3 linked regions of the Callithrix jacchus genome follow. The protein of the gene in region 2 interacts with the protein of the main gene of each other region in a biochemical or structural test. Links are inferred from orthologs where the notes say so. Each region holds a gene or a part of one and is shown on either strand. Other genes may lie near its edges.

Region 1 (6,983 bases), on a different chromosome or scaffold from region 2:
TCACAATCCTTAATCCTCGTTAAAGTTAATACTAAATGCAAGCCACAGAAATGTCTACATTTTTTTAAGTGCCAAGTTGCTTTTTGTTTTTTAATAAAAAGGTTAAAAGAAAAAAAGCATGTTCAGCACTGCTGTGCCTACACAGGGATATCCCCTCCATTGTATGGGACACAAAGACACACACCAACTGCAAACAAGGGAAGCAGCCTTCTCTGCTGGCTATTTTTAGCCTCACTTCGTCATATTAAGACTAAACTTAGGATAATAATGCAGAGTGAACTTTAAAAATATGAATTTGAGAAAACAAAACTGTCCTTCTAAGTTCTTTAACAATGAAATTATATATACTCTTCTTAAAATCTCAAGAGACCTATATACCCTATTTAAAAAGAAAAAAGAAAAAGAAAACTTTTAGCTTGTTTCAAAAATACAGAATAATATACCCTGGGACTAAACTGGTGGCCATGTTTAAAGCCTGCTCATTCCTTTTCAACTTCAACTTTTACCCACGTTTAAAACATCTATTTTAGGGAGTGTCTCATTCATTCAGATTTTCCACTCCCAACTAAAAACACCCATTTTTCAGCTCTTCACTTTCCATCAGTACTCTGGAAAACCTAAATATATCGAAAATAATTCCAACTTTACATTTTCAGTGTATTACCTGCTGAACTATCTTGCTGTCTGGAAACTACACCAGTACCCAACTGTTGCCCTACAATTTAACATCCATAACAAAGTTTACTGTCCCATTTCCAAACTCTTTTTTGTAAGAAGCTACCAGCAACACACTAAGCATCTTCTTTTTCACTCCTTCTGTATAGCTCAATAGCCATGACGTAAAAATGTTGGTTCCTAGAGAAAAAAAAAAAAAAAAACCCAATCCAGGCACAATGGCTTTGCCTAAAATGTAATTTCTCCCCAGTCATCTGAAACTACTCTCTCAGGAACACTCTTCTCAATTGCTTCTCTGACTGTAATCATGTGTCTACACAAACACAACTGACCCTAACACTACTCAACAACCTCCATCTGTATTCCCTTCAGACCAACTTCATAATTTTATCTGTCCCTTATGCTTCCCCATTCTAAAAGTCTTAAATATTTTGTCTCCACTTGCTCTTTTCTTCCTAAAAGAAATGTTTCCAGATATTGCTTTAACACTTCAATTAGTTCTACACAAAAGCAACATTTCACTAGTGAAAAATGTAAAAATACATTAACAGCTATAAAGTGCCATATAATATCTAACATCTAGTGTGATCTTAAATATTGGTCTATCTCCCCAGTAGCTTCGTGCAATTTGTGTTTGATTGTCTCCACCACCTACAAGTCAAAGCATCTCAAAGACAGGGACCCCAAATACTTTGTCATTTCTACTCAAACATGTAATAAATTCTGGCTGGGCACAGTGGCTCACACCTGTAATCCCAACACTTTGGGAGGCCGAGGTGGGTGTATCATTTAAAGTCTGGAGTTTGTGGCCGGGCGGGATAGCTCACGCCTGTAATCCCAGCACTTTGGGAGGCCAAGGCGGGTGGATCACGAGGTCAACAGATCGAGACCATCCTGGTCAACATGTTGAAACCCCGTCTCTATTAAAAATACAAAAAATTAGCTTGGCATGGTGGCGCGTGCCTGTAATCCCAGCTACACAGGAAGCTGAGGCAGGAGAATTGCCTGAACCCAGGAGGCGGAGGTTGCGGTGAGCCGAGATCACGCCATTGTACTCCAACCTGGGTAACAAGAGCGAAACACCATCTCAAAAAAAAAGTCAGGAGTTTGAGACCAGCCTGACTGACATGGTGAAACCCCATCTCCACTAAAAATACAAAAACACTAGCCAGACATGGTAGCGTACGCCTGTAGTTCCAGCTACTGGGGTCGCTGAGGCAGGAGAATCGCTTGAACCTGGGAGGTGGAGGTTGCAGTTAGCCAAGACTGCACCACTGCACTCGAGCCTGGGTGACAGAGAGAGACTCCATCTCAAAATAACATAAAATAAAATTACCAAAATTTTTAACCAATCTATAGTTAAAGCAATACAAGTAGTCCAAAAGTTAGTGAGCAACTTTGACAGAATGCAACCTACATTCAAACTACAGTTTGTTTCTTAGTTTGTCCTCCCCTCCTTCTCAAAATACAGGTTCTACATGACTACATTTCTCTTTATCATATCTTTGTGAAAAACAAAATACATGACTCTGATTCTAAGTCTAACATTACATCCACTATTCAATATTTTCATGTCAGTACACACTTAAAAGACAGAATTTAAGGTTCCTTACCAAAACATAGTAAGGCAACTAAAGAAAAACAGTACAGTGGGAGAAGTTCCAGAGGAGGAAAAAGTGGTCAAAGAAATAAGAAACATTATTCTAAGACAAGAGTTGGAGAAACTGATGGTAGAAATAATAAAACACTATAAAAGTAAGGAAAGATGAACTGAGGCTTGTTCTGGTATTTCTCGAAACACAAACTCTGGCTGTGTCCTGAAAATTTATGGACACAGGTATGGAATATATAAATAAATTGCCTATGGAATTTATAAATGAATTGTCACATAATACAGAGGCTAATAAACTTGCAGAACTCATTACTTTAAAAGAATAGGACCAAACATTGTTAAGTTTGAGTTTTAAATAAATTTAATCAAGATCCTGAATGGAGAACTTCAGATAGACTGATAACCCCAGGCTTACATTCATTACCACAAAGCAACTCTCAGCAGTGGCTTCAGACAGAAGGAGCCCACACAGTTGTCTAGACGGACCACAATTCTCACTATAGTACTGTCTATGCCTGCTTACATAAAATTCTACTCTATGTTTAACCCTTAAGGACTGTATATGATATGTTAATTACTTCCATGAAACTTTAATTTGGTACTTTGAGAACATTACTAAAATGCAAGTCAAAGGTTTTATAGACTTCAACTTTAAAACAATGGAAGGAAAAAGTCATTCCTGAAAGAATTAAATATCAAAAGTGTATCCTAAATTGATACAGAAATAAAGACAATACAAAATAGCAAAACCTCAAACAAAATTAAAAAGTGTTGTCATTTAAGATGTTACTCCAAAAAAAATAAAAACTTGGTGAAGGGGAAAAAAATCACTTTTATAAAATGATTAATGTGATAAATGCTCTTCCCCAGATAAGCTGTGATTCCTAAGAAATCAAGTTCCTAAGTGAAATCTGTTACAGTGTCTCCTGACACACAGACCCAGGAACTGAGAAGATTAACTCCTGTATCAATAGGTACTAAATGAAAATCTCCCAAGACTGTTTTTTCATTTTTTTTTTTAAAAAGGGAATTTTGCTTTCGGGGGTCCTATATAAGAGTACCCCAGAAACAAAAAGAACACTGTACACACCCACAGTACCAGGAAAAGGTTACAGATACAGATGGCCTCTGTGCGCACACATCCTCTGGCTTCCTCAATTTCCCTTTGCCAATTACTGGCCAGAAAGGTGCGAGTATTCACTCTGAAGAAGGAACTCCTCCAAGAGAAACCTGCATACTTGCATTACTCGTACAGAGTTAAAAAGTTACGAAATACAGGCCTCCCTAACACCTTCTCCCTTCTGTGAATAAAGCTAGACCCTCTTGTGACTCCCAACACTCCTGGGAACATCAGCAAAACTCCAGGAGGAAGCGCCGGCATCCTCCCACTTTCTCCCCTCAATTCCCTCTCACGGGGCCACTCACACTTTAGAGAAGAGCCGCGGCGCCGAGAAAGTGGGCTGGTTCCCTTCCTCCTTCGGACTGAGGCGGCAGCGCGGTCCTGAGGAAGAAGCGGCTCGTGTCGCTAAACCAGGCGGCCACTCGGGTCTCTTCCGTGCTGCCAGGGGCGAGGAGGCGGCGGCCCCGCTTACCTCCTCTTTTCCTCTTCCTGGGTCTTTTCAGGCTGCGACTCCTGCCCGTCCAGGGCCACTTCTCCCAGGACAGTCACGTTTGGGAGGCTCTGGATTTTGTTTTTATAAAGTTTCCTCTGGGCGGAGGCTGTGGCCGGCCCCCCGGATCCCCCCCGGCCCCGCCGCCCTGGGGGCTGGGGCGGGGGAGGGGGGCTCTAAGAACTCCTCCCGGAGTCCAGCCAAGGAGCCGGGGGGCCGGCGACTGGCCAAGGGAGAAGACCCCCGAAGGGGGCTGAGGGGAGGGGGAAGGTGAGGAAAGGACGGCGGCGTCGGTCCCGCTCTCTCCGCCGCCCCAGCCGCTGCTTCACATCGGGGTCCCAGTCCCCCCGGCCGGGGGGGTGGTTGCAGAGCTTGGTTGGGGCCCCGGCTCATACACTCCGGGGCAAGATGCTACGGACCCGGGCGGGTGGCCGAGGCGGCGGCGAGGCGGGGGACCCTGCCGGCTCCGCTCGGCGCCGCCCCCGCTCCCGGCTCCTGCATGTGTCGCTGCGGCTGGGACCCCCCTCCCTACACCTTGGGGGTCCCACGCCCCACGCCCCGGGACGAGGCAGAAGCTCCGGCGCCTCCTCAGCGTTCTCTCACCGCGGAGCAGCTACCCAGTCCCGGCCCGCGGTAGCCGCCTCCCTGCCCCCCAAGCCGCCGGCTCCGGCTCGGGCTCGGGCTCGGGCTCGGGCTCGGGCTCGGGCTCCGGCTCCGGCTCCGGCTCCGGCTCCGGCTCCGGCGTGTGCAGCCTCTGCTGCCGGCCGGGAAGGTGAGGGGGGGAGAGGTGTGCGGCCGCGGCTCCCGCTGACCCAGGTGAGGGCGAAGGTCTCAGCGGCGGCCAGTGCAGAGGGGCTGAGTCTCTCGGATGCTCCTTCGCTCTTACTCTCGGCGGCGGCGGCGGCGGCGGCGGCGGCAGCGCCCGGAGCTCAGTTCGCTGTCTCCCTCGCTCTGTGCGGGGCTCTCGCCTCACTCTAGAGAGAGAGGGGCGGGAGGAGAGCGGCGCCTGCAGATGACGCAAGTCACCTAGCAACCGCTCTCCTCCCCCTCCCTCTTCTTTCCGCTCTGAGGCTTCCTCCGCGGGCCTTTTTTCCTAGTCCAGCCACCCCGCCCTGGGCGCCTCTGGCGCGCTCTGATGACGCTCCAAGGGAAGAGGAAGTGGGGATAGGCGAGCGGGTGGGTGCGCCTCGGGCCGCGGGACTTGCAGCCGCCGCCGCCGCTGCTGCAGCCTCTACGGCCGCGTCAGAACTGAAGAGAGGAAGGGGAGGAGCCGAGACAAGCCTAAGCTGCCGCCCGATCTTACCCCTGACCCGAGGGCGGCCCGGAGAGCTTGCTCTGTAGCGGTTTCCTGCGGGGCAGGTGGGACTGCTCCTTTGGGAGGAAGTAGGAGGCCCAGGCCGCGCCTTCAGGCAACTGCGCGCACCACCCGAAGGTGAGGCATTTGGCTCCAAACAGGCCCTCGAAAAGCCGGACTGATCGAGGAGTTACCCCACGGCCTGATCCACTGCACCTGCCCCAGGGAGAGAGCGCCCCACCCTTCCCGTGGCGTGGGGTGAGACTCAGCGCTGGATAACGTGTGGTCGGGCAGAGCAAATGTTTGATGAATGAATGAATGAATGAATGCCTCCTCACGTGGCACTCGCGAAGCTCATAGGATATGGTGGAAGTGCAAGCGCTTTTCAAACTGCAGTGCATTGTAAAAATGAGTTGTAATACATTCCTCCCCTCCCCCTAGCTATGAAAGGAAACAGGGGTGCGGCCTGAGTACAGAGTCACAACCTGAGTCTTCAGTGGAAAAGGAGATGAAATGCTGGGCAGGGGAAGGAACCCATCCTCGGGCAGATTTTTAGGGCGGCGGGGAGGGAGGATTGGAAGGGAACCATCATCCGGGAGATTGTGGAAGGATTTTTGACTCTCAAGGGAAGAATTTCATTAGTAGTGCCACACTTTTACGAATCGTTCTTTCTTACGGTTTGGAGCTTTCGAGAGCTTCTCGTCTTGGTTCATCAGTGTACAGTGTCATCAAGAAATGTTGGCCTGTGTTTCAGGTCTGACTCAAAGGTTATTTTCTTTCTAAAACAAATATTATTACTATTAGTGCAGCTTTTCCTACAGACGTTATCCTGGAAAGGAACGTCAAGTAAAAACTCATGAAGTTTAAAGTGTAGTTCTCCAGGAAAAAAAATTTTTAATAAAAGGATCCGAATCCTGAGAAATCTGTCTTGAGTGAATAGCATGAGAATGGTCAATCGTATCAGAAAGACATTAAAGCAGCAACAATAATGAAAGCAAATTTCACAATTATGTCGCTGGACCCTAGTACATTCCACCTCCTCTGAAAACAGTAGTAATGGATATTACAAGTATTTCCACCTCGAGGAGGGGTGAGATAGGAGCAAGTGTATTATAAACAAATTTGGGAAGCTCTGGGTTTCTGCCACTACTGCCACCACCATCTGCAAACGGTAAACTAAGGAATATTTTAACTGGGTAAATCCAAGGGCTCCTGTTGATTAAAATGCTACAGGAAAGGTGGTGGGAGGGGCAAAGGAGGATGTGGCAAAACCAAGGAGAGTCTCACAGACTTAGCATCTGACCTTACTGCCCTTGACCTGAAGTTGCAAGAGCCAGGTTAAACATCCTGCTTAAGGCCGGGCGCGGTGGCTCATGCCTGTAATCCCAGCACTTTGGGAGGCGGTGGCGGAGGCGGGCAGATCACACCAGCTACTCCGGAGGCAGGAGAATCACCTGAACCTAGGAGGCGGAGGTTGCGGTGAGCCGAGATCTCACCACTGCACTCCAGGCTGGGTGACAGAGCAAGGCTCTGTCTCAAAAAAAAAAAAAAAGTCCTGCTTAAATTACCCTGGATCTTTCTGTCTTTACATGACCAATCCCCTGCTACATCCTTCCAAATGAGACTCACAGTTAATCAGACCAAAAAGTAATGGTCTCACATGGCTACCATATAAAGATTTTTTGTTTTCCCCCCTCTTCCTATATTACAGCAGGGGAATGGTGGAAATTAAAGGAGTAAAACACACAGATTTAGGGGATTTTGTGAAGCTAAGCACCTCAGAGAGTTTAAG
Region 2 (7,071 bases):
CATGGAATCCACATACTTTGAGGGCCTAAGGAAATCAACAATGTCAATTAAAAAACCATCTCATTTCACAAATGAGCAAATACTGGCCCTGCAAAGGTAAGCTTTAACTAGACTCAAGTCCTCTCTCCCAAATCAAGACGCTCTATACCTAAGCAAAAATAAATGACTACATCTCTCCATCACAGAATTTTTAGAAGTGAAATACCTCCATGCATGAATAAAAAACTTAAGTCATTAAATGTTATCATCCTGTTTATAGTGTGCTTACTCAATGTTCATTTTATAAACAAGAAACTTCTATAAAGAGGAAATTATGTCCTCGGCAAACACAAGACTTTTACCCAAATTGGATCTACTTCCCATTTAATGTTCATTTCTTCATTTGCAAAGCAAACACACGGATAAACTCCCAGATATTTTTAAAAAGCAAGACAAACTTAGAATTGGCCCTTCAAATGGTTAACTCTTTTCTCCAGACATACCTAAAACAAGTTCAAAATGAACCTGACAGTCCCCCAAAGACACTTTATTCCAGAGTGACTCAAGGTCATGGCTTTGGGACCTACAAAGGGCTGAAACAGCAAAACAAAACAAACCAAAACACCTTCATAAGTTCTTATGGTCCTAATGTTTTTAATTTGAAGAATGGCAAGTAACAACTCCTCAATTTAAAGTACATTCATTTTAATTTTCCATGCTGAAAGACAGACACAATGCCTCTGGGTATACTAGGAATGATATTCTGATGAAAGGGCCTCAGTGACCCAGGGATGGTTCCTCCCACAGCAACTTCCTATCCCACTTCAGCAGAACCAAGGGGCTGGCCTCACCTTTCCAACAAGGAGACGCCTCAACTACCAAACTGCTTCATTTCAAAGGCAAAGCTGGATACTCAACCGGGGGTGGGAGGACCTGATCCTGATCGCGTTTGATTGTGTTTCCAAAAAAAGTAAAAAAAAATTCCGCATCTTAAAACTAGTTTTAATGGGAAAGAAAGCTAAAGTTTCACAACTTGTTCTCTCTTGGCACTTTCCTGGACTTCACAGGTATAGAAAACCTGGGCATTTTTCTGTTGGGGCCCTGTACTAGATACTGGGGGGCTGTGGGGAGGTGCGAAGTGGAGAAATGGGAAGGGAGAGTGGCAAAGGAGAGATGAGAGAATCGATTTTACTTAAGTGTATAATAAAGCTTGCATTCTTAACCGGCTTAAGTGCAACGACTGTGTTTTCTGCAGCCAACAATCAGGGCATGTTTTCAAACACTAAGTTAGAATTATTCCAGAAAACTCACTCATTCAAAAATAAGCAATTGAGGCACCACCATAACCAAGTTGTTACTCTGGAGACGCAAAAATAAACAGGGAATATCCCCTGCGCTGAAGGAATTCAGAATCGGAAATGTATGGGAAATAAGGCTGTATTGTAGTTAATTACAGCTAGAAGATAACATTCAGTAAGTGGCAAGAGTCTAATGAACTATAATATCTAAGGAAACCATGCAGAATCAGCTCAGGCATGCGTGTCTGTCTTCTGATGTGGTACACACATTGGGAGTGGGGGGTGGGGAAGGACCTGAGCATGTGGCTCTCAAGGAAGGAAGCTTTTACAAATTGGTGAAAAACCCTAGCATATTTAAAGTTGGTTTGTTGTCTGACAAAACAGTTTTTAAAAGATGAAGCCAATGAGGAAAGAAGTTTAACATATTTAGAAAGCAATTCAGCCATCCCTCTCAAGCTTAAGGAACACTCTCCTGAAACCTCCAAAAATGGGCATAATAGAGTTAAAGCGAGCCAGTCTTGTGTTTGCATGCTTTGGAATTTGAAATGCAATGCAACTATTTCGACTCACCATGGAAAACAACAAATAGAACCTCGAAGTAAAACATTTTCCAATATCCAAAAACCTCCTTTAAACAAAGAAAAATCTCATCGCCAAATATTGTTTTCAAACAAAATGACTGGTTTTACATTTTAAATGTCATTACATATTTTACTACATAATCCACTCTCCAGGATTTCAAAAAACTGGGTACATTTTCGGGTGCACCATGAAATGAAGTGTTAAACTTAAAACTGCACACACTTCCGCGAGGCGTTAGGTCCTAGAAGCTCCTGGCTTGAAGTAAAAAAGGAATCTAGTTTCTCTTCTGCCGCTTCGTTAAGATTATTCCAAAAAGTGTGATCGTTTACTCCACTCAGAACTTTTGACGATTTTAATGCTACTACAGGAAAGAGCAATTACACTGAGCAAATAAATATTTAAGAAGACTGCAATTCAGCATTTGTGCACTTACCACGAACGCCTACTACGAACCAGAAGCAACCGAGAGTGACCCAGTCGGAAAAGAGAATCCTCTTTTTGGCAAAGCCAGCCAGGCAGAAAACCTTAACTTTGGGGATTCATTTCAAGCAGTGTCTACAAGCATTCCTCTCTTTCTTAATTATCTTACGTCTGCGCTACACAATATTGCACCGGTGGCAGAAACAGGGGTCTTTCAGATCTTGGGGCAAAAATCGCACGAACCCCGAGCCTGGGGACCCCAAGTCCCCGCAGCTTGCGCTCGCCCGGTTACCTCCAGGGTCATGGCGCGCGCTCCCGTTGGGGCCGGGGGCGCGCCGAGGCCGCGGCGCAGGGCCCGGCCAGACTCGCGAGCGCTAGGCGGGCGCCGTGGGGCTCCGTTCGGTTTTGCCGCCGGGCTCCCATCTCTGAGCGCCAGCCCAGCCCGCTCCCCGAGGACAACTGGGCAAAAGGACGGCTGTTAGCCAATAATAGCGTCCTGCACGGTCGCAATAATGCAGGCGCGGAACCCGAGAGCCGCGGGCAGGGAACCGGAAAGCGAGAGAGCCCGGCTTGGCGGCTGGTTGCGCGCGCGAGCCCGGGGCTCACAGGAGGGCACGCGTCGGCCGGAAAGCGGCGCCGAGGAGAAGCGTGGTCGTGAGGGCGAGAAGGGGCAAGGGCATGGGGTCCCGGTGTCCCGCGGAGATCGCCTCACGAGGCGAGGCGCGAACGCCCAAGTCGCCCGGGGCCATACGCCGGCCCAGCCTCCGCGGACCCAGCCCGGTCCCGACGGGGAAAGGGGCCGGCGCCACCAGGCCGCCGCCTCTGGGCGCGATGAATCGGGCTTTTTCCCAGTGCGTAGTCCGGGCCTGGCCGCCCCGGCCCGTCCGGGGTGACTCAGGGCCCAGCCCCGCTCGCTCCCCTGCCGCCCCCGGCGTCCTCCGCCCACGAGCCCCCGGGCCCGGCCGCCATTCTGCCCGGCCGCGTTTCGGCGGCTCAGGCCTCGCCCGGCGCCTGGGCTCGGCAACCGCGGCCCGAGTCACTGCGACACCGCGGCTCGGGGCCGGGCCTGCGCCGCCGCCACCACCTCCTTTCGGCCCTGCGGCGGCCGACACTCACCCGCATCTCCGTAGTGCCCAAAAGGCTCCCGCGACGCCTCCGCCTGGTCGCTGGGCCTGGGCCCCGGCGAAAGCCCCGTCCCGCCAAGGTCTGGCTGCGTCCCTCAGCCACCCGGGCTGCCCCGCCTGGAGCTGCGTGCGACACGGAGCCCGCCTCCTCCTCCTCCCCTGCCCGCCCGGCCCTCCTCCTCCCGCCGCCGCCGCCGCCGCCTGCACCACGCAACCTCCGCCCTCTCGCCTTCTCTCCACGGCTCCCCGCCCTCCCGGCCTCACCGGCTCCGGCGACCGCGGGGGAGAAGCTGTTGGGGGAGGGCCGGAACGCACCGCCATCGGCGTCCGGGGCGGGGGAGCCGGGAAACCGTCGTCGCCATCGCCCCGCCAGCCCGAGACGCGGGAGGGGCCCGGAAAGCTCCCGCCCGCCCGCCGCCCCGGGGGCGCCCCTTCTGTGGCCGTGGCCCCCGCTCACGTGGGGCTCTTTACCTGCGAGCCCACGGCCCCTGCCCCCTGACACCCGAGCCATCCCCGACCCGGCGCGCTGGATCCTCCGCCAGGTTTTACAGCCTCCCTCGCCTTGGGGCCGCCGCGGAGGACCCGTTCCCGCCACTTCGGACCTCGCCAGCGAGAATGAGCTGCTTGGGTCGGGGACACCACCAGCCTCTGAAGAAAGGGCCCGAAGCACCCCAAAGGAGAGGGGCTCGCAGTCCTCCTGCCCCTCCCCTGTGCGCACAACCCCCGTCCCCCGCTGGCCTGGAACTCGACTCCCCACTTTTGTCGACCGGGACTGGGGGATGCACCACAGATCAGAAAGTCAGAGGTGGCCAGGTGCCTCCCAGAATCGGCGCGGACTTCCAAGGAACGTGCAGCTGATTCTCGACCCCCCCCTTAACACCTGCAGGCCTTAGGATTTGGCTCCAGACACATTTTATCTATGTGTCTCTTTTTAAAAATCACTTCTAAGGTCAAACCTAACTAGGCTTTCCCTCTTCAGACTCTTTCACTAACTGCTGTTTGGCAGATTTTGACATTTACTCTACCCTTGGTCTTTGGAAGGACAAATCAAAACTAGAAGGCTTTGATTACATATAGGGATGGCATGAGGCATGATGTAAAATAGTATTTTCACGTGTAGTTCGAAGTCATCTCATTTGAAATTAACTGTCATAATTGGCTATTTGGAATATTCACACTAAATACTAATTTTGGCAGCACAAATAGCCACCTGCTGCTATGGTGACGGGCTGGAGGAAGCGTGGTGGCCCCCCCGCACCTAGTGAGGGATGGCTGATTAATAGCACGGCTCACAACGTCACCGAGCGGCTCATTCCACGAACAACCCCCGGGGGATTTCGAATTCTGTCATCTGGGCAAAAGATGTGATGAGTGTAATTTTGTTTCCTCCAAACTAAAATGCTACACAGATTCCAGTACCACTCGGGACAGAAGGCCTCAGTCAGAGCAGAGGGCTGTCCCCAGAGTCCACAGTTTACTGCATAACATGGGTTTGTCTCAGAAGAAACATCCCACTGGTCTATGTGATCCCCTCTATCGAAATGTCTTGGCCGGGCGCGGTGGCTCATGCCTGTAATCCCGGCACTTTGGGAGGCCAAGGTGGGCGAATCACGTAGGTCAGGAGTTCGAGACCAGCCTGGCCAACATGGTGACCCCCCCCCCCAGTTTCTACTAAAGATAAAAAAAATTAGCCAGGTGTGGTGGCAGACACCTGTAGTCCCAGCTATTTGGGAGGCTGAGGCAGGAGAATTGCTTAAACCTGGGAGGCAGAGGTTGCAGTGAGCCGAGATCATGCCATTGCACTCCAGCCTGGGCAACAGGGCAAGACTGTCTCAAAAAAAAAAATGTATTTTGTCTACATCTAAGTATCTGTAATAGTAATGCATTTGTCACTTAGGTATGTCATAATCCTTTCATTTGTGCAGGGTGTTGGGGTGGGAAATATTCTTGGCCTCCTATTCTGTGACTTCCTCCAGCTAATAGAAAGGCTGAGTGGGTCAGCCTTCCCTTTATTGTATGTTTCCTTTGCCCTCTGTTTTTTCTTAATAGGAGTATTTGGTTCACCTACACCACCCTCCCTCTTCTCACTGCCTCCGAGATTCCTGGTTCTTAACTCCTTTCTATTCTTTACCCTCACCTGCCTACACGATCATTCTTAGCAGCAAATTTATTCCATTGACTTTTATGTCCACTTAACAACCAGATTTGCATTTACTTTGGGCAGATAACCTTGCCTCCTGCCTAACAGGTCAAGGCCACCTGCTGCTCCCTTTCTACTTTAAAACCTCCTTCCTCCATCTTTCTCCCCCAGCTCAGCAAAATCGATGTCCCTCTCAGATGACCCAAAGTTTGGAGGGATAATTAATTTGATGGATGTCAGAATCAAAATTCAAAATAGTCTGAACAGACTAGAACATTAGGCCAAAAGCAGTGACATAAAATACAACTTTCAACTCGACAATATGATGTACTAGTTGGAAAAGCCCAAGTTTTAGATTTTAGTGGGCTTTGGTTTATATTCAGTTACTCAAATTTGAGTCATATCCAGTAACTCAAATTACTAATTTTTGCTCTAGTTAAGTCAACTGTTAATTTGGGATAAAAATACCTACATCATAAGAGTGTAAAGAGTAATTTCTTCATAATTCGTGGAACATTCACCAGCCATTAGTCCCCCCTCATCTTCCACAAAGTGAATGTGCCTGTTGCCATTCATAGCACATTCTTTAATTCATGCAGACCTGGAAACAAACTCAAAATCCTGGCCCATTCACCTTGTATCCCAGAGCTGTCACCATCCTAGAGAAATCCTTTGCCTGTTTTGAGTCAGTCATTATCATCATACCCATTTTTCATTTAAAAAAAACTTAAGGCTCAGAGATGTTAGGCAATTTGCGTGAAATCGCTCAGCCTGATCAGTGCATAATGTGACCCGGTGACTCACTTCTGTATATATCCACTCCTTTACTAAGATATTCTCCCACACTTTTGTTGGTTCTTTAACCTTCTAAATGCTCTTCCTGGTTCTTACCTCTTCTTTATCCTTCCGCTTGTGTCATGACTGATGGCAGATTATTCCTTGTAAATTGATACCTTCATCATTATAATTTTGTCCTTCCAAACTTCAGTAGTTCCATATTGTGTGTAGGGTTCAATCCAAATTTGGACCTGGCACTTAAGGTTTACCATATCTTGTCCTAACTTGCTTTTCCAAATTTATTTCCTGCTACTTCCCAAAAGGAACTCTCAATGCCATTCAGTTGTTCCTCTAACAGGTACTGTTCCCCCTTCTCTCCTCCAACTCCAAATCATGCTCACTTTTCTTTTTTTTTTTTTTTCATGCTCACTTTTCAAGATCCAGCTCACACCCCCCTCCCAGGAAGCCCGCCACCTTACACCTTCTACTCAAGCTTTGTGACCTCTCCCTGATTGCCTTCTCACATGTGCCTTTAAACTAGGTGGTCTGTGCTGTGGGGTCAGAGACAATTTCGTAATGTTCATCTGCCCCCTCAGCACTGTGCCTGAAGAACGCTGAAGCGGATTCCGAGCAAATTTGCTTACTACTGAAATGAAAGGGTATGGTGTTACTTGACTAACTATATGAACGATTATTTCTAAGACACAGGTAAGTAACTAGCCATCCAGTGCAAAGTGAATTAACAGGATGG
Region 3 (7,071 bases), on a different chromosome or scaffold from region 2:
AATGAGCCAGGCCTGGCGGTGTATGCCAGTAGTTCCAGGTACTCCGGGGGCCGAGGTGGGAAGATTGCTTGAGTCCAGGGGGTTGAGGTTGCAGTGAGATTGTGCCACTGCACTCCAGCCTCGGCCACAGAGTGACATGTCTCAAAAATAAGAAAGAGAGAGAAAGAAAGAAAGAAAGAGAGAGAGAGAGAGAGAGAGAACAGAACTTAGTTACCTCAAGCCACTGAATATTCAATATTAATACTCACAGAGTGTCACATGGTTCATCCACATTAAAGCTTTCACTATGGTATCCAGGAAATCCCCTACCTATTGGCTACATTGTAACTCTTTACTCCTTTATGGAACATGCATCCCTAGAGGTCCTTAAAATAACTATATAAACTGGTGTCAATCTCTTCTGGCAAAAAGTCTCTGTATACTCCAAAAGTGTTTCTTTTTGGGAGGAAGTGATGAGAAGCACTGTTCTAAGGTACTGTCCCAAAGAATGTTTCTTCATTTTTCTTTGGAAGGTTTATTTGAATTAGCATCCATTATTTTAAAAATAATAACTTTTCACTAAACCAAGGCTAGTAGGTAACAGGCACTATCCTGGTCATTAGAACACACAAATGCCTCCCCCTAAAAGAGCTCCTAGTCTTTTTTTTTTTTTAACTCTGTATATGGCATCAGGGTTCCTAACATCAACATTTCTCATCCTAATGCTTTCCCCATTTCTCCTAAGTCTTAATATCCCAACTTTTAAATAATGTCCAATACTAAAACACAAAAGAAATATTTGGCAATTTTTTTCAATAAATTGAATCTATTAAGTCCTACAAAAAGACTCTTTTAAAATGCTGAAATTTCCAAATTTTTAAGCCTGCATTCATTCCTTTACCTTCTCTGCATTAATGGACAACGTAATTATCTAAATAGACCTGAAATTTTATGCCTATAAGCAACCTTTTGTAATTAGTCATGTCCACGCCTCCCAGAAGTGAAAATCTCAAATTAAGTAGTTTGCATAAAATCTTACAGTTGATAACAAAGACTCAGGCATGATTAGAACCCAGATCTTGTGACTAGGTCAAATTCTCTTTGGACTCTACCAAGAGGAGAATAAAATTGGCCCTTCATTTTGGCAGCACTGTTTTCTTTCTTAGTCCTTAGTACAGGCAGAGTGCTTTGCATATAGTGGTCATTCCATAATGTTAATTAACCTTGCCCTCAAGATCCTTCTAGTGCTAGGTATTTTTAAATATGCAGCCACAAATCTTGGTATTTAAGCCAAAATAAACTTCTAAAGAGAACAAAGCATTATTTTTTTTAAAAAAGAACAAATGTATTAAAATAAATGCCTATACTAAAAATATCAGAAAAAATTTCAAAATACTTGACTCCAAATGCTATTTTAATTCTTTTGTTTGTTTGTTTGTTTGTTTGTTTGTTTTGACACGGAGTTTCGCTCTTGTTACCCAGTCTGGAGTGCAATGGCGCGATCTCGGCTCACCGTGACCTCTGCCTCCTGGGTTCAGGCAATTCTCCTGCCTCAGCCTCCTGAGTAGCTGGGATTACAGGCACGCGCCACCATGCCCAGCTAATTTTTCGTATTTTTTTTTTTTTTTTTTAGTAGAGACGGGGTTTCACCATGTTAACCATGATGGTCTCGATTTTTTGACCTCGTGATCCACCCGCCTCGGCCTCCCAAAGTGCTGGGATTACAGGCTTGAGCCACCGCACCCGGCCACTATTTTAATTCTTAAACGTCTATTTAAACTGAATACATAAAGTGCTTTAATTCCGAAGACTTGTGTATTAACTAGATGGCTACAGCATATTATAAAAATGTTTTTTAGAACACAGTTAAAAAAACCTTAATTTTGTCAAATTACTGAAAATCACTTACTGCTTTTAAACATACCTTTAACATTCACGAACTATTAGGAATATATTAATATTAACACCAATCCTCCAGGCAATGTTGATTCGGTACAACCAAAATTCATAATCTTTATCAAATTCGGCATTGACTGTCATTTCATAGAGGATTATTTCTTTCATATAATTTATTTTAAAAAAACTAGGTATGTATATGTTATCTTTCTTTCCCAGGAAATTTAAGAAAGCAAGCTTTAGTCAATAATCACATGTATGGTATCACCACATAATTTCTTTAGCCTTTCTAAACTTATTACCCATACAGAAGTCGTACTAGTTGAACAAAATTCTATTATTATAAAGTGTTACCTTTAGCCTGAAACTAACCACAATCAGAATAAAATTTACCACTTTTACAGGATGAGCCAAACTGACAGCAAGAGGGAGGAAATCACGCCACACATCTTTGACTTCAATCGGAAGCTAGCAAAGCCCCAAAGAGAATCAAACAGCATTCCAATCCGTAAAACAACACAAAACTTATTTCCCCCAAGAATCTTAATTTCGGCCCTACAACTAAACAAATCTAAAATACATAAAACAAATCTATGTCACCTCCCAAAAGTTACAATATTAAAATTTTTACCATTAGCAAACTGGTTTTTAAGTGTTAAATACAACACTTAAAAAAATATTTCTATCTAGGAAGCTTTTAAGTAATACGATGTTTTGTGGTCATTGACTATTTTAACAACCCAGTTTATCAATTTAATCAGGAATACAACTACTACTTTTTCATGGTTTTCCGTTCACAAATCTGAAAAGTTCTTCCCACACGGTTTGGACATATTTTCAGGAGTTAAACCATATTGTTCATATAAAACAAACAAGCTCTTTAGCCACAATTTTAGTTGAGGACTATTTGTTCTTTCCTTTAAAGTGCACCCTAATTACAACCAGTGAAGCATTAGAGAACAAAACAGGTATAAGGAAATAAGCAGCCTTTTTTCTTTTTTTTTTTTAGGTCGAGAACATTTGTGAAGAGATGGGAGATGGGTAAGAATGTAACAACCACCATAGCATACAAAGGAAAAAAGATAACGTGTAAAAATATAACAAATCTTCACTATGCATATTACAACAATTTGGAACATTACAAATCTCCTGAACAGAATTGCTGTAATAAAGCTTCACATTCACCAGCTCCGTATTAAACATCGCTTCCTTTTGAAGAAGATCCGTCTGCTACAATTCAGATCCAGCAATTCACCCCTTTGGTAGTGATTTTGGATATAAAAATATGAGACTGAAATCCCGAGTTCCTAAGTGGGTTTTACCTGACGAGGGAACTGACAGTGATGCTGGCGGGAAAACCCTACGAGCGAAGTTTCCTCCGTCCTGGCTCCCCTCCCCCTTCTTCCAACCTTCACGAAAAGAAATTATCCAAAAAAGAAGTATATAACCCCATCGGCCAAAAGCGCAAAAGTTCATCATTACACCTGAATGCAGCCAGGCCCACGCGCACCTGCGAGCAGGTAGAAGAGTACTGGGTCCCCCACCAGCTTGGGCCCCAGCGAGCAAGGCAGCCTAGCGCCGCAGGATGGCAAGCGGGTAGGCCCGGGGCCCGGTCTCCCCGCTAGAGCAACTCCGTTCTCTACAATGGTGGGTGGTTTCGCCCCTTCGCGCTACCAGAGACACGAGAATCGCCTCCCAGTGGGGCGCAGGGGAGGGTCTGGGGGCGCTTACAGACGCAAAAGGGGCCTGGAGACCGCGGCGGGCAACGGCCTAGGGGAACGAATGGGGGAGGCGGTTACAAGCCGGGAGAGGAAAGGGGCCCGCCGGGATCCAAAGGCCAGCGGAGCGGTGGGCTAGAGACCTCCGGGCAGCGAAGCTACTGGCTGCGGCCGAAGGGGTGGGGCAAGGCCTGCGTGACGGCCAGGGCCGCGGCTGGGGGAACCCAGAGGTGGAGTGAGAGTCGGATCTCGGCCTCACCTAAAGTCCTTGTCGCTGGATGTCATTTTTTCCAGCAAATTGGAAATGTGGTACGAGGCGCTCGCCATGTTGACGGCCTCGATCCCGCCCGCTGGCGCTGATGGAGCTGCCGCCCGCTGCCGCCGCTGGAGCTCCTCCTCTCGCTCGCTGCAGCTCCCGCTTCCAGGGTCGCAGCGCGACGCCGACGCTTACTAGGGAGGCGCCTCGACGGGCTGCCCCCTCCCCGGCGAGGCGTGGGCCTGTCCCGGGGTAAGCCGAGGCTACCGGACCAGCCTAATGACGGCGCTATTCGCGGAAGGACGAACTCATGAACGGCGAGGCGTACAGCACGGCCAGTAAGGGTAACCAGACCCTTCCACTCAGGGCCGTCTCGCTCCCACTCCCTCCGCACTCGCTCCCTAGGGCAAAAGGCCAAAGCCCGCCTACTTCGCTCGGGGACGGGGGCGGAAGACGCAGGACGCTACGGAAAGCTAAGGTCAGAGTTCAGGAGGCCTCGCCCAAGCACGCTGCAGACGAGAGTTAAAGCACAATTCGGTTGGCTGAAGCCTGTGTCAATTTTCGCGTGACCCGCCTTTTGGAGGCATGACAATCACTAAAAGGGGCTGTTCTCGCGATACTTTAAATGACGGTTAAAGGACAGGAGATGAGCGGAACGAGTGGGCCTTAATCTGAAAATAATTTGATTATTTAGTGACATTAAGAGAAGAAGATTACGATCTTTGAGAAGGAGAAAGCCTGGGAGTAACGACAATTAAGGAGTCAGCTTGCAGAACCAACATAAGAATTAAAACAGGGAGGTTTCGTTTGGGATCAGACGAGTGGCCTGTATTGCCTTAACCACCATGGTGTAAATGTTGCCACGTGAAAACCACAAATCCCAGAATTCAGTCGGGTGATACACTGGCTCAGAATATGATTGGCTGCAGGAACTTGTAGCTTTTTCATTGGCTCCCGTGGAAGGAGTGGATGCTGGGATTTGCAGTCTGGCGAGGGAACCATGCTGTATAAAAATGTTTGAATCACCGCGCATTCCGTTTCTGCCGCAGATTCTTATTTTCTCCAATACAGGCTTTCTCTGTTATGCGGTGTTTAAAAGAGCTAAGCCGCTGCAGTTTGGCCAGGCGCATTGCGGATCCATTGGTGTTCTTGGCAGAGGCCTAACGGCGACTTTCTAGCGCTACTCCTTGCACCTCCCAAGGCAGCCGAGCCTCCCCACTTCTCTGGCCGGACACACTCCTTCCGTGCGTCGTAGAGCCAGCCACCTCTCTGACGCCAGCAGGACCGTAGTAAGACTAATGGGCATGCGAGAGATGACGGTAGTCAAGGCCTACTGTCTTCAAAATAGCTGAAGACTATCTCTGTAGTTAGCTTTTGTGGCCTCGTAGGACCTGCAGCCGTGTATTGTTCCCTCAGACATACAATTCCCTGGAAATGAGTTATCGAAGTATTTACTATCTACGTTTTTTATCTGTTTAATATTTGGGATTTTAAACACAAGTTTTGCCAGTTAAGGGTCAACACCCCTAAAAGTGTTAGGGATGGAGCTAGCTGACAGGCCTTTCTGAAAGAGAGCTGGGTGAAGAGATGAAAAATCAATCTCACTTGATACTCTTGTTAAAAACAACAAAATAGCCCTCTACTTCCACATACCTCAGATCTGATCAAATCTACCTGACCTTTACCATTCTTTTCTATAGTCAACTATTACTGAATACTTCAGAGTCAGGCAATAGCAGTTAATAAAACAAATGAAACGGGATTTAGCCTCATAATATGTGTCTAAATTTCATGCATAACTCCGATCTGCCCTCATGTATCCTTTTACTTTAATATGTGTGATATAAAGACCGGGCGCGGTGGTTCACCCCTGTAATCCCAGCAGTTTGGGAGACCAAGGCAGGCTGTTCACGAGGTCAGGAGTTCGAGACCAGCCTGGCCAATATGGTGAAACCCTGTCTCTACTAAAAATACAAAAATTAGCCGGGTGTGATGCCACGCACCTGTAGTCCCAGCTATTCGGAAGGCTGTAGTGCAAGAATTGCTTGAACCCGGGAGGCAGAGGTTGCAGTGAGCGGAGATCATGTCACTGCACTCCAGCCTGGGTGACAGAGGGAGACTCCATCTCGAAAAAATATAATAATAATTTAAAATGTAATAGATGATTATAATACATTTTTGTCCGCAGTAATGCCATCTTTCTCCTTTATTTTACCCATCTGCCATCATTAATGTCTTTTATCGAGCTGTCCTTGAGTGCTTCAGCCACAATTAATTTCCTTTTGCTCTGAGCAGACTTTCCATAATATTTAATGTAACACACACATACACAAAGAGAAAGAGAGAGAGAGAGAGAGAGAGAGAGAGAGAGGCAGGTTGTGTTTTGCATGTGTGGATCTCAGGTCTCAGTCATTTAATATTAACAATAATACTTTCTTTTATCCTGTGTCCTCTCAGAAGCCAAATCATGGTTTGTCTTTTTCATGATTTGTGTGTAAATTCTTTTACTTTTGAATTTCCAGCTGAACTATGATATTTGGAGTCAGATTCCTGAAATATAAATCATGTTTACGGCCACTTACTAGGTGTCATAGGCAATTCATTTTCTTTCTTCTTCTTCTTTTTTTTTTTTTTTGAGACGGAGTTTCGCTCTTGTTACCCAGGCTAGAGTGCAATGGCGCGATCTCGGCTCAGCGCGATCTCGGCTCACCGCAACCTCCGCCTCCTGGGTTCAGGCAATTCTCCTGCCTCAGCCTCCTGAGTAGCTGGGATTACAGGCACACGCCACTGTGCCCAGCTAATTTTTTGTATTTTTAGTAGAGACGGGGTTTCACCATGTTGACCAGGATGGTCTCGATCTCTTGACCTCGTGATCTACCCACCTCGGCCTCCCAAAGTGCTGGGATTCATTTTCATCTTTCTCAGCTTCAGTTTCTTCATGGGTAAATGATGATCAGGATATTCCCTCTGGGTTGTTTTAAGAGTTTAACTCCTAAGCTTAGGATTGTTGTAATAGTTAAATAACTCTACCTTGGCCTCCCAAAGTGCTGGGATTACAGGCATGAGCCACCATGCCCAGCCCAGCCCAATGTGGTGAACCCTGTCTCTGCAAAAAATACAAAAATTAGTCAGTCATGGTGGCAGGCACCTGTAGTCCCAGCTACTTGGGAGGCTGAGGCAAGGTGAATCGCTTTTACCGGGGAGGCAGAGGTTGCAGTGAGC

What was found.
Region 1: the proteins of CUL1 (region 2) and FBXW7 form a complex in vitro, tested with the Homo sapiens proteins (3 studies listed by BioGRID). The link is inferred for Callithrix jacchus from reciprocal best matches to the Homo sapiens genes CUL1 and FBXW7.
Region 3: the proteins of CUL1 (region 2) and CAND1 form a complex in vitro, tested with the Homo sapiens proteins (6 studies listed by BioGRID and IntAct). The link is inferred for Callithrix jacchus from reciprocal best matches to the Homo sapiens genes CUL1 and CAND1.

Annotation. Positions count from the first base shown.
Region 1 is NC_133504.1:44,161,172-44,168,154, reverse strand, and holds the start of FBXW7 (F-box/WD repeat-containing protein 7), read right to left. Parts: upstream 4,874-6,983; 5' UTR 3,880-4,873; exon of another isoform or gene 3,789-3,879; 5' UTR 3,713-3,788; intron 1-3,712. UniProt on the Homo sapiens protein: Substrate recognition component of a SCF (SKP1-CUL1-F-box protein) E3 ubiquitin-protein ligase complex which mediates the ubiquitination and subsequent proteasomal degradation of target proteins.
Region 2 is NC_133512.1:99,021,252-99,028,322, forward strand, and holds the start of CUL1 (cullin-1), read right to left. Parts: upstream 4,054-7,071; 5' UTR 3,875-4,053; intron 3,787-3,874; exon of another isoform or gene 3,668-3,786; intron 3,523-3,667; exon of another isoform or gene 3,396-3,522; intron 2,741-3,395; exon of another isoform or gene 2,293-2,740; intron 1-2,292. UniProt on the Homo sapiens protein: Core component of multiple cullin-RING-based SCF (SKP1-CUL1-F-box protein) E3 ubiquitin-protein ligase complexes, which mediate the ubiquitination of proteins involved in cell cycle progression, signal transduction and transcription.
Region 3 is NC_133510.1:51,920,336-51,927,406, forward strand, and holds the start of CAND1 (cullin-associated NEDD8-dissociated protein 1), read right to left. Parts: upstream 4,266-7,071; 5' UTR 3,921-4,265; coding exon 3,853-3,920; intron 1-3,852. UniProt on the Homo sapiens protein: Key assembly factor of SCF (SKP1-CUL1-F-box protein) E3 ubiquitin ligase complexes that promotes the exchange of the substrate-recognition F-box subunit in SCF complexes, thereby playing a key role in the cellular repertoire of SCF complexes.